Linked DNA regions of Saccharomyces cerevisiae S288C. The main gene of each other region encodes a partner of the protein of the gene in region 2 in a complex. Each region holds a gene or a part of one and is shown on either strand. Other genes may lie near its edges. The genes, in order: CTF4 and TOF2. A codon is read from its position in the direction of its gene.

Region 1 (5,556 bases), on a different chromosome or scaffold from region 2:
CAGCGTTCCTATTATCAGTTAAAATGTCATTAGCTTCGCTTTTCAGATTCTCCAGATATTGCTTTGCAAGCCTCCTTCTTTTATCGGCTGGATTTTCACCCTCGAATTCTTCTTCAGATTCCAATGCGTCTTCTTCATCCGAAACTTCTAGTTGTTCATCTTCGTTTGAGGATGGATCTGTGATTTCTTCGTCTACTGTGGGTTTTGATGGATTAACTTCTCCTTTGGATCTTTTCCTCTTTTTCTGTTGGGTAACATCTGACATCTTTTCTAGATTTTCTATAATTTTGAAATGCTAAAGAAGAAATAAAGAACTTTGAATTGATGCTTATTTGAATATTTACGGTACAGGACCAGGTGTTACACTGTTTAATCAAAGCTCATCTATAAAATGTCATCTCTTTTTTTTTTTTTCATATTTTTTCACTTTTTCCTTTCGCGAAAATTCGCAAGGACGCTTCCAGCTCAGATCATGTTCAACGTAACTCTTTATTATCGTCGCATTCAAAGAAATATATGTTAATGTGGGAGCATTTTGAACGATGATTTGAACAAATGAACAGGTATCAAATAATTGTCTCTTGCGTATATATATTTTACATTTTTTTATTTCAATTGCTGTTCATATCTAGCTTCCCTTATATTATTAATTTTTTTAACGAGAGAGGGCAGCTCAGCTCTTTCTGATATCTTAACGGCTGCAGTAAGTGCTCTATCTTGTTTTAATTCATGAGCAAGCGAAAGAGCCTTTTCAACATTTTGGTCTGAGCATGCAGACGCAAATAAACGTAACAAAGCCTTATCATATGCACCGTTCAATGCTGCCAATACCTCATTTTCGTTGCCGTACATTTCACCGTCATTTTCGAGTGTATCTGTCAACAGCTCTGACAAAACCTTGCTGCGCAGATACTCTTCTTCCGCCGCCATAGAAACAGGAATCTGTATTTCTTTGTCTTCTTCCCCTTCTTCCGCTTCGGTGTCAGCTCCAATTTCGTTCTTTTTATTTAATATAGCTTTGTTTTCCTCTAGTAATTTACTCTTAACAAATACTGGCATTCTAATCTCCATTTCGGATGGCAACGGAAGGGGAAACTCGGGCCATATATGCTTGCCCTTAACTAAGATACAATTCAATGTGTCATACGCCAAAGCCAAGGGCCAGACATGTATATCTGTCGTTTCCTTCCCTCCTGACATCTTCCATATTTCCATGTTGCTATCTAGAATAGGGAGCCATTTACTTTCTTCTGGTGATCTCCACTTTGATAACAATAGAAGCGTGTTGTCGGACCCAAAAATGCATGGATCTCCGTAGCTTGAAAAGAACAAACTTTTGATGCCCATCGGATTAAAATTGTAGTAGTCAAGATTTGCGTCTTTTTTCATATCAGAATTAATGTTTGGTAAACTCATTGGAAGTGGACACTCTCTTTTATAGTACCTTTTACTAGAAGTACCCAATTCAGATAAAGAGTATGAAAGGCCATGAAACTGCGAATAATGTACTGAAAAAACCCTATAATTCTGAGCAGTAAGCGCTACAATTGGGGATGTCTTTTCAACAGCAAATGGAACCCCGAATTGATTGAAACTTCTGAAATAGCCTAATGATGTACCAACAATAACGCGAACCGGGGTGGCTGCCACACTTGTTATTCTCTCACCAGCTTGCAAAGGAATAATCTTGGTCCAGTTTGAATGTATGCTATCGTGTGGCCTATATTGTATCTGCCCAGTTTTGGATTGGCCAAATAAAGTGCCTTTTTCATTTAGGAAGCATAAATCGTAGCCAAATAAGTCCTCGAAATGGTATTCTCTAAAACGTCCAACATCAAAAAAAGAGACAGTTATGCTGTATTGCTCACTATTCTTGACAGTAGATACGTAGCCCACTTCATTCATTGTCAAATAACGCCTGTCAGTAAAGCCAAAAGGTGTTCCCGCTGGAGAAAAAGGCATATAACGAAATTTTCCTGTGTTTGCCAAACTGATTGGAAACGAATGAGTCTTGTGTACTCTCGAATAAGAATGTTCATTATGTGGTTTTTTGCCACTAATATAACCAGCACCATCGTCATCATCAATAAAGTCTTCTTCATCTTCGAAGTTGTATTTTCTCTTTTCACTTAATCCACTGGGGCCGTCGTGTGTTTGAGTGAACACATCTTCCGCATTCGCTTCTTGAGTAATATCTGAAAATAGCTTATCGCTTTTGTTTATATCATCATTTCCCTCTAAGTTTTCCAAGTCAGATTCGGAGTCTACAAAAAGCCCATGTTTAGTTGAAGATTCAGCAACAGATTGGTCAGGTATATTAGATACTACGGACTCTGCCAAATTTTGGACAATGGCTATACTACCGGACCAGGTACCTAAAACAAGGTCTAGAGTTTTTGAGTCCGCTTGGATTTTCCAGGCAATATTAGTAATTTTTCTTTTGAATTCCCTGGTGTAGTGGATCTCGGAAGTTTCCCAATTCCATACCGTTAACTTATTATTTAAATCTACTGCCGCAATGTAAGTTCCACGTAACGGGTCAAATTGCAAATCAATGAAATGAGCCTTTGTTGATGAGAGATTTGTGGACAACGTCTTTTGTAGGGAATATCCCTTTATAGAGAATATTTTTACTGTATCATCTGCACATGGTAGCGCAAAATGCAGACCCTTCGGATGCCAAGCCACTCTCGTGCAAATTCTATTAGCAGCACAGAATTCTGGATCAGCTACATTGTTCTCATCTGGATCAGCCGTTTCACTCAGGTCATTATCATTGTCTTTATCTATATCATCCATCATATTCGAGAGTATCTTATCTCTGTGTGTATCATCATATGAATTGGCCACTATGTAATCATTTAACTCATGAACTTTGTTTGGAATAGTAGATGTCAGAGAAAAAATTTGTACCTTACCATTTATCATTGAAACTGCTAAAATATTCATCTGTGAATTGTAAGAAATTTGAGAAACTTGTTCATCGATTTTAATGGCATGTTTTTTGTGTGTTTCATCGTCCAATTCCAAAAGGATTAGTTCTAAGTCGTCTCCTCCAAATACGGCCATTTTACCTGAATGAATAACACAGCAGTCACGTAGGGGTAAAGCAAATCTAGCCAATAATTCTTCTTGACTAGAATCGATGTTATACCTAAGAGCATCACCTTGCATTGTAGTCATCAGAAAGTGCGAGTTTGAATAGCATTTTATAGACGAGACCAATTTGGAAGAATCTAAAGTCTCTGGCTCTTCTTCTGGGTTATTTGTCTTCAGAATCTTGGTTAAGCCATTTTTATTGGCTACACACAAAGTATTATTATCTGGTGCGAGAGAGACCAGAGTTTTCCCACCAAAGTCAAAAACAAGCTTGTCTATAACTGAAACCATAATAGTACGTCTAGTATATTTACGTCACTTCTTGCCCTTCTCAATTATTTTTCCCAAGCTTTCTTATTAATTTAATCTATATGTTCCCATATGTTGGCGTATTCAGGAAACTTTATTACGCGTCGCGTTAAACAGTTAACAATTAATCATTAGTGGAAATTAACGAATCTTAGTGAAAACACCCATTCTCCAGGTGAGATTCTTTCAAGTATCAGGCAAACTACGATTTCACCTAATGAATATCACAAGACGTTTTGAATAATTTTCTGAAGCAATTATGAAACATTATGAAGATATATACGAATATGGATAAGCCTTGTACCTGTGATTTTACACTCAAATTGGACATAAGTAGTACATGAAGAGGATGATTAATTCATCCTTTAACGCGCTTGTTCGAAAATCCTTTGAAACCATGTAATAATATATCCAGATTTTCGGCTGACTTCTCATCAATGTTCATCATCGTCGTTTCGTCGTCTTCTAGACCATTTAACCAAAATTTCATACTCATTGGTAGAGAAGAATATGTGTGGTACAGCGACGGTTCAAAGTGAATTATATTTGGTCCGTATTGGCCGTCTTTCATCCCGACTGATGGTGTAGAATGTTCATCGACCAAAACATCATAATTCCTTCGGCACTGTTCTTCCTCTAACCTGAAAAACTCTTCACTAGATATGTCCACGCCTTCACCTTCTGTAGTGCTAACGTAACGTACCGGCCTCTCAGCAAACAAAAGGTTGCTGTCCCGTTGGAGTTGAAGGAAAGGAGAATCATGCACTTCTACTTTCCCATTCCATCTATCTAGCAGACTTGAATATTTCTGTTCCAGGTTATCATTTTTCTCTTCGTTCGTTTGGACACTAGTCATCGTGGTTAGAGTGGGTTCCTCACCCTTCGTATTCATTATGAGAGCTTTTAAATTAAATAAAACCGTAGCCAGCTTACGAATATCAGATGAAGCCAGTACCAAGTCTAATTTCGGTCTTGTTCTCTGAAATGTGCCATTATTTACTGCGAAAGTCGGCCTTGCATACTTAATATTGGAGAATGTACTCAATTCTGCAGTTATTCGGTTATTCCAATATAGTTCCTTCGGTGGGTATACTGTTTGATAGAATAATTTTAACTCCACAAGTATGCAGTTTTTTCGAAGAAAGTTAACTTCAGGTAAACCCATATGTGCACTGATTTTCTCTTTTCCTTGGTTATGCGTAATAAAGGATTATTTTGTATCGCAACCTTCAATTAAGGTTATCACATTTTAATAATAAAAGCTGGTAAAAAAAGCCGAAAAATCTGCCTGGACAAACATACAGAATACGCATATATACAAGCGAAGAAAGGAGATTTAGGCTCATTAGAGCAGTATCAATTTTTTAAAAAATATTTACACGTCTTTCTCTAAACTATATAAGGTGGGGGGCGCAAATTGACCATTATTTAATCAAAAGCAAATACAAAAAGAGAAACATATTTTAGTGTCATTCATAGATGCAATCTTTTTTCTTCAGTGGGGAATTATTTCCATTGCTTTTTCACCAAATGCCAGATCATTGGGGAAACCCAAAGAAACGCAGCCACATAAGCGGCCTGTTTCAAGGTTTTCTCAGTTTGTTCTTGATGAGCTCTTTTCTCCTCTTCGGAGACTTCCTGTTGAGGTAGACCAAACATTTTATACTATCTAGTTATTTGATGCCAATGGACGCCTTTTGTGGGAAACTGCAATTCGCTAATATTGGTGTAACGCCTCTAGAAAGAAAGAGTAAACTTTCGAATTCATTTCTTGATTTTATGATGTGCGGTATTCTTCCAAAGAAGGGTAACAAGAAGGTTTTTTTCTCTCACAATTTCTTTGAAGGGAAGTTTTGGAAGAGTTAACTGTCAGCTTCATTGCCCAGCATCTTTGTTTGATAGCACTTGTAAAGTATATGCAGGCCATATCAAGGGAGTTTATTGTCCTCTGAAGTATATATAGAGGAACTTTTAGTAATAAAAGGCAAAAACATATCAATTAGCAATGAGTACAGCCGATCAAGAACAACCCAAAGTGGTGGAAGCGACACCAGAAGATGGGACAGCTTCCTCCCAAAAGTCAACTATAAACGCTGAGAATGAAAATACAAAACAAAATCAAAGTATGGAACCCCAAGAAACTTCAAA
Region 2 (4,804 bases):
CTGAAAACTTCCTTGTTTTAGCATGTGGCATTCTCAGTGTACATAATGATTTATAGCTCAAAGGCTTTTAATGTTTAGGTAGTTACAGACCTTTTGCCGCCGTGAATTTTTGACGTCTTGTAGTGCTGTGATATAATTGGACTATAAATCATTACCCGGCCTTTTAAGGCATGAGTGGCGTTCCAACGTGCTGTCAAAACTATGAGACCAAAAACCAAAACACACCCCTAAGAAATGTATAGGGATTTATATCAGCATAAAGGTGCCATAATTAAAGAGATTTAGCCTGAACCCATTACTATTCTGTTACAGTTAAGTACTCATACAGACAGCTAGAAAAAGAAGAAGAAATACCAAGTACAAAGAAAGGAAACCATGTCCAAGTTAGAAACCGTTTACTTATACGCTGGTGAAGAACAACCACGTGTTAAATTGACCTGTATTAAGGAAGGTCTCACTTTAACTCAGGTTATCAAGTTCGTGCATTCTATTCAAGAATTGTACGGGATTGAGTTGCAAACTTCTGAGACCATAACAGAAAATTTGAAGATAGATTGTGCACCCGCATATTTGAAGCCGAATTGTATTCCCCATTTCTACATTCTCGAATATGAAGAAATAAGTGACACCTTTTTCATTTGGAAATCTGATGGTCGTTGGCAATTAAATAAGTTGTCTGCCTTGTTGTACGTGGATAACGACGCTAACGTGGTTAAGAACACTTCCTGGAAGGAGGTTTTCCAGAATGATCAACGATTTAAAAATTATGATAAACGGGCCTGGTTACAAAATTGTCTAGAAAAAATGAATAGAGATCTCTCAAAACTAAACGTTGAACAATTTTGGTCTCAATATGATAAAATATGTCAAAGCATTGCCAAACAAAAGAAAAAACAGGAACAGTTCAACATGGAGGTTTTCGATAACTTCAAAAATATTGTTTCTATTGCTATCATAAAGACCAAAGTTTTATCGAATAAGCGACTTTTGACAACAACTTTAAAAAATTATCATAACTCGATGAAGAAAAAGTATAACATCCAGGAACAAAATCTTAAGGAAAATAGTTTGGCATCGTGCTCAAACAATGAGCCTTCCGCATCTCTGGAAAGCGAATCAAGACATTTTTCTCCGGTAAATTCGCTGTCTCCTTCATCTTTGAGTACCGATGATGAGGCTGTCTCGACAGACTACATCTATAAAGGTCCTGAGTCTAAACCAAACGTGAATTTCATGCATTCAAGTGCTACAAACGATCTGATCAAGTCAAATTTTGAAAGCTATTTTAAATTGATGGCCGAAGACTATGAAACTTTTGACTTGAGAGCCTGGTCGAGACAAAGACCTCGAAAATTTCAGCTTGTGGAAAAAAAAAAAATCACTAAAAACCCTCCTAATAGCCATCATCCGCATAAAAATGGCAAAATATCATTTTAACTATTTCCGGGAAAACATGTCTTTTTATAGCATCTACATCCATTAAATCAAGAGAATAAAAGTAAAACTCCAAAAGTATGTACGTATATAGAACCAATTATTCAATCATTTATAGAAATGTGACCTGTTTTTTCTCTACTATTGTTACATAGGCATCACGAAAAAAAGTCGCATTATACGATACTGTTATATAATTTTTTTCATATTCTTCAGATCTCAAATGCAAGATGGTCCTAATTTGTTTGTTTGTTTATTTATTAGTTTCGCTGAAGAAGGAAAACAAGTCATTTTTGGTTAGCTACCCAATTATACAAGCATTCAATAAATACGCCAATCTTTTGCCACATTTCTTATAATATCCTTTGCCCTCCTTGGTGTTTGGTTCAAATAAGTAAATGATAAAAATGTGGAGGTTACAGATTGTACTGGTGCCGCCAAGTGCTCAAGATATTATCACATTTCTCGAAGCACGCTTGAATACTCCACAATCAGTGTCTCCTATGGTCCAGTATAATGAAGATATAATTACGCACAACAACAGTATCAATAACTGTAGCGACCCCTCTCCTACGAGCCCGTCTTCGCAAAATTCTATTCAGTCGAATCGTAGTAGTGATTTCATTAACTACCTCCCGAATTGTAAAAAGTTTTTACATTTTACGGACGGTGACAATACCCTTTTACAACTATCTAATGAAATTTTAACTAAATTTGATAGACTTTATCCAAATTTCAAAGAATCCATTGAAATCGTATCTCTACAAGATAGGCATGGTTGTGATTTGGACTCTGAATTTATAATAAAAGACGTATTTGAAAATGATGGTGTGGTTTTGGTAATTTTAAAAGATGAATTAGACTGGAGTAGAAATCAACATATTTCACTTTTACAATTGGCAAGACAGCGGAGACGGCAGGACAACAAGCCATCCACAAAATCCATCGTTACTGAAAAGAGAAAAAAGATCTCTAAGGAAGACTTATCTTCTATATCAAATAAAGATACAATGCATCTAATAGCTAAAAGCTCGCTCAAGAATAACTTCATTAATAAATCAAGAGTATCAACGCCGCTAATGAACGAAATTCTACCGCTTGCAAGCAAGTATGATGCACTGAATAAAGAAAAGTGTCCCATGCCACTTACTTCCACAGTAGTGGCATCAAATGTACACAAAGACGTAAAAGATCACGCTCGTGCTAAAGAGGGAGTTGTAACGCAAGGGAGTGATAACAATAAAGAAAATATACCTTCATCCACTCAACAACAGAAAAATGATGGCGCTAAAAGGGCCGAATCAAAGGATTTAGATCTTTTACGCAATTCGTCAGAAGATGCTGATTATGAACCCGCAGATGAAAACTCCCCTCAAATTTCGTTTGATTCGATTGATACCGACTTCCAATTGAGCACTACTTCTCATACTAATTCTGATATGCATATACAATATTCTAACCCCTCTAGTGGTGCTCATAGTCCCAGGAAGAGTTCCTTAGAAATTAAAGTTCAAAACAAAAAAGGTGATGATCTGCCATTGAACGACAAAGATATAGGTGAGAATTGTAGAAGGATAGAAGCATTTTCAGATGAAGAGGATTTTAATGAAACCGATAATGATCGTGCGGATTCGTTTATCAACAATTCTAAGAAGGCATCGATGGGATTTCGGGATATCAATTCCGACTTGGATAGCGTTTCATTCAACAGTGATATTGAAAATGCAGTACAAAGTACTCAAAGTACCAAAAATGTTGTTTCTCCTCCCTTTTTTCCTGAAAAAGAATTGAATAATCGGTTACATCAAAGTCAAGGTAAGGAAGCCCTATTTCGACTTGTTGAGAAGGAGTTTCCTGATAAATCATTGGGTGCTGCGTCATCTACTTCGCATGCAAAAGACGTAAAAATACAAGAAACTATTCGGAAACTAAATAGGTTCAAGCCAACTGGGGAAACTAAGGTCCAAAAAAGGAATAGTATTACGGAACCATATTACGGAAAATTTGGAATAATGAAGAAAGATAAACCCAAATCCATAACTTCAAAAGGGGTAAGTCTGGAAACAAAGCACTTTGATGATCCCAATACCATTATTTCCGGTGAGAAATTCGCAAAATTTGGTAAAATAAAAGTGAAACGAAAAACTGATGATGTTGGATCGAAAGTTATAGAGTTTAAAAGAAAAAGAAATATGGGGAATAGATCCCTAAAAGATATTTTTGCCAATGCTGGGAAACCGCCAAATGCAGCTTCGACCATAAAAGTAGTCAAATTAATGAGAGATCCTGTTGATAATAGTAAAGACAAAGTGGAGGCAACTTCTAATAGTACGGCTCAGGAACAAGAACAAGTCTCACCCAAGTTGCCAGTTATGAATTCAACTCCTGGAAAAAGAAAAAATGGCCAAGCGATACCGTCCAGTTTAGAAAGAACACCGCAGCTCAAGAAAGTCAAGGTTACCAGGTCGCATTCTTCACCTTCTTCTTCTTCTTCCATGTCACTTGAATCTTCATTGGATAGCTCTTCCTCAGATGATTCGGATGATGATTCTGATTCGAGGAACGTGCAAGTTAAAAAAATTAATTTCAAAACAAGTCATGGACCAGCTGGAAATTCTAATGGAAAACCAATGCTGGATGTGGATGACAATGAAATAAATACAAAGAAGTACCAAACACCTAAATATGTTGAAAGTGATGAAGACGACCAGTAAGTCTGTCAGTAATTATGTTGGGATCTCTCAACCATATCTTAAATATTCTTGGCGAATTGTAGTAATTTTTTAGACTGGTTAATGATATCATAATTAAATCTTCAAAAGCAACCAACAAAAGAGAACTAATAGCGTACGGTATGCATCAATTATATATGATTATAACGGACTTTTATTCATGGACGTTTATATCATTCTGGATTATTCGTCATTATTGTTCATTGTTGAACACAATATAAAAAAATATAAAATATGGTTGCTAAGAGATTCGAACTCTTGCATCTTACGATACCTGAGTATTCCCACAGTTAACTGCGGTCAAGATATTTCTTGAATCAGGCGCCTTAGACCGCTCGGCCAAACAACCACTTATTTGTTGAAAATTTTAGAATTCAAGTATACCCAGTCATGTATTAAGTTAATCTTTATGTCATCTTTCTAAACTTTATATGTGTTGGAATAAAAATCCACTATCGTCTATCAACTAATAGTTATATTATCAATATATTATCATATACGGTGTTAAGATGATGACATAAGTTATGAGAAGCTGTCATCGAAGTTAGAGGAAGCTGAAGTGCAAGGATTGATAATGTAATAGGATAATGAAACATATAAAACGGAATGAGGAATAATCGTAATATTAGTATGTAGAA

What was found.
Region 1: the proteins of TOF2 (region 2) and CTF4 are in contact, whole or in part, in a crystal structure (PDB 5HOI), measured with the Saccharomyces cerevisiae proteins. Residues at the interface, in NP_012935.3 of Saccharomyces cerevisiae: Ile504 (codon at 3,342), Gln505 (codon at 3,345), Thr507 (codon at 3,351), Ile508 (codon at 3,354), Arg509 (codon at 3,357), Leu511 (codon at 3,363), Asn512 (codon at 3,366), Arg513 (codon at 3,369); in NP_015461.1 of Saccharomyces cerevisiae: Ile728 (codon at 1,209), Met731 (codon at 1,200), Ser732 (codon at 1,197), Lys735 (codon at 1,188), Thr737 (codon at 1,182), Ile740 (codon at 1,173), Leu756 (codon at 1,125), Lys758 (codon at 1,119), Ser772 (codon at 1,077), Glu773 (codon at 1,074), Met774 (codon at 1,071), Glu814 (codon at 951).

What each region holds. Positions count from the first base shown.
Region 1 is NC_001148.4:797,068-802,623, reverse strand, and holds CTF4 (chromatin-binding protein CTF4), read right to left. Parts: upstream 3,391-5,556; coding exon 607-3,390; downstream 1-606. Other genes in the region: ribosomal RNA-processing protein RRP9, read right to left, coding at 1-265; MSS18 (Mss18p), read right to left, coding at 3,767-4,573; TOM5 (Tom5p), read right to left, coding at 4,915-5,067; transcription factor SPN1, read left to right, coding at 5,414-5,556. UniProt on the Saccharomyces cerevisiae protein: Accessory factor for DNA replication. It plays a role in accurately duplicating the genome in vivo.
Region 2 is NC_001143.9:458,268-463,071, reverse strand, and holds TOF2 (Tof2p), read left to right. Parts: upstream 1-1,832; coding exon 1,833-4,148; downstream 4,149-4,804. Other genes in the region: chromatin-associated RNAPIII regulator FPT1, read left to right, coding at 376-1,437.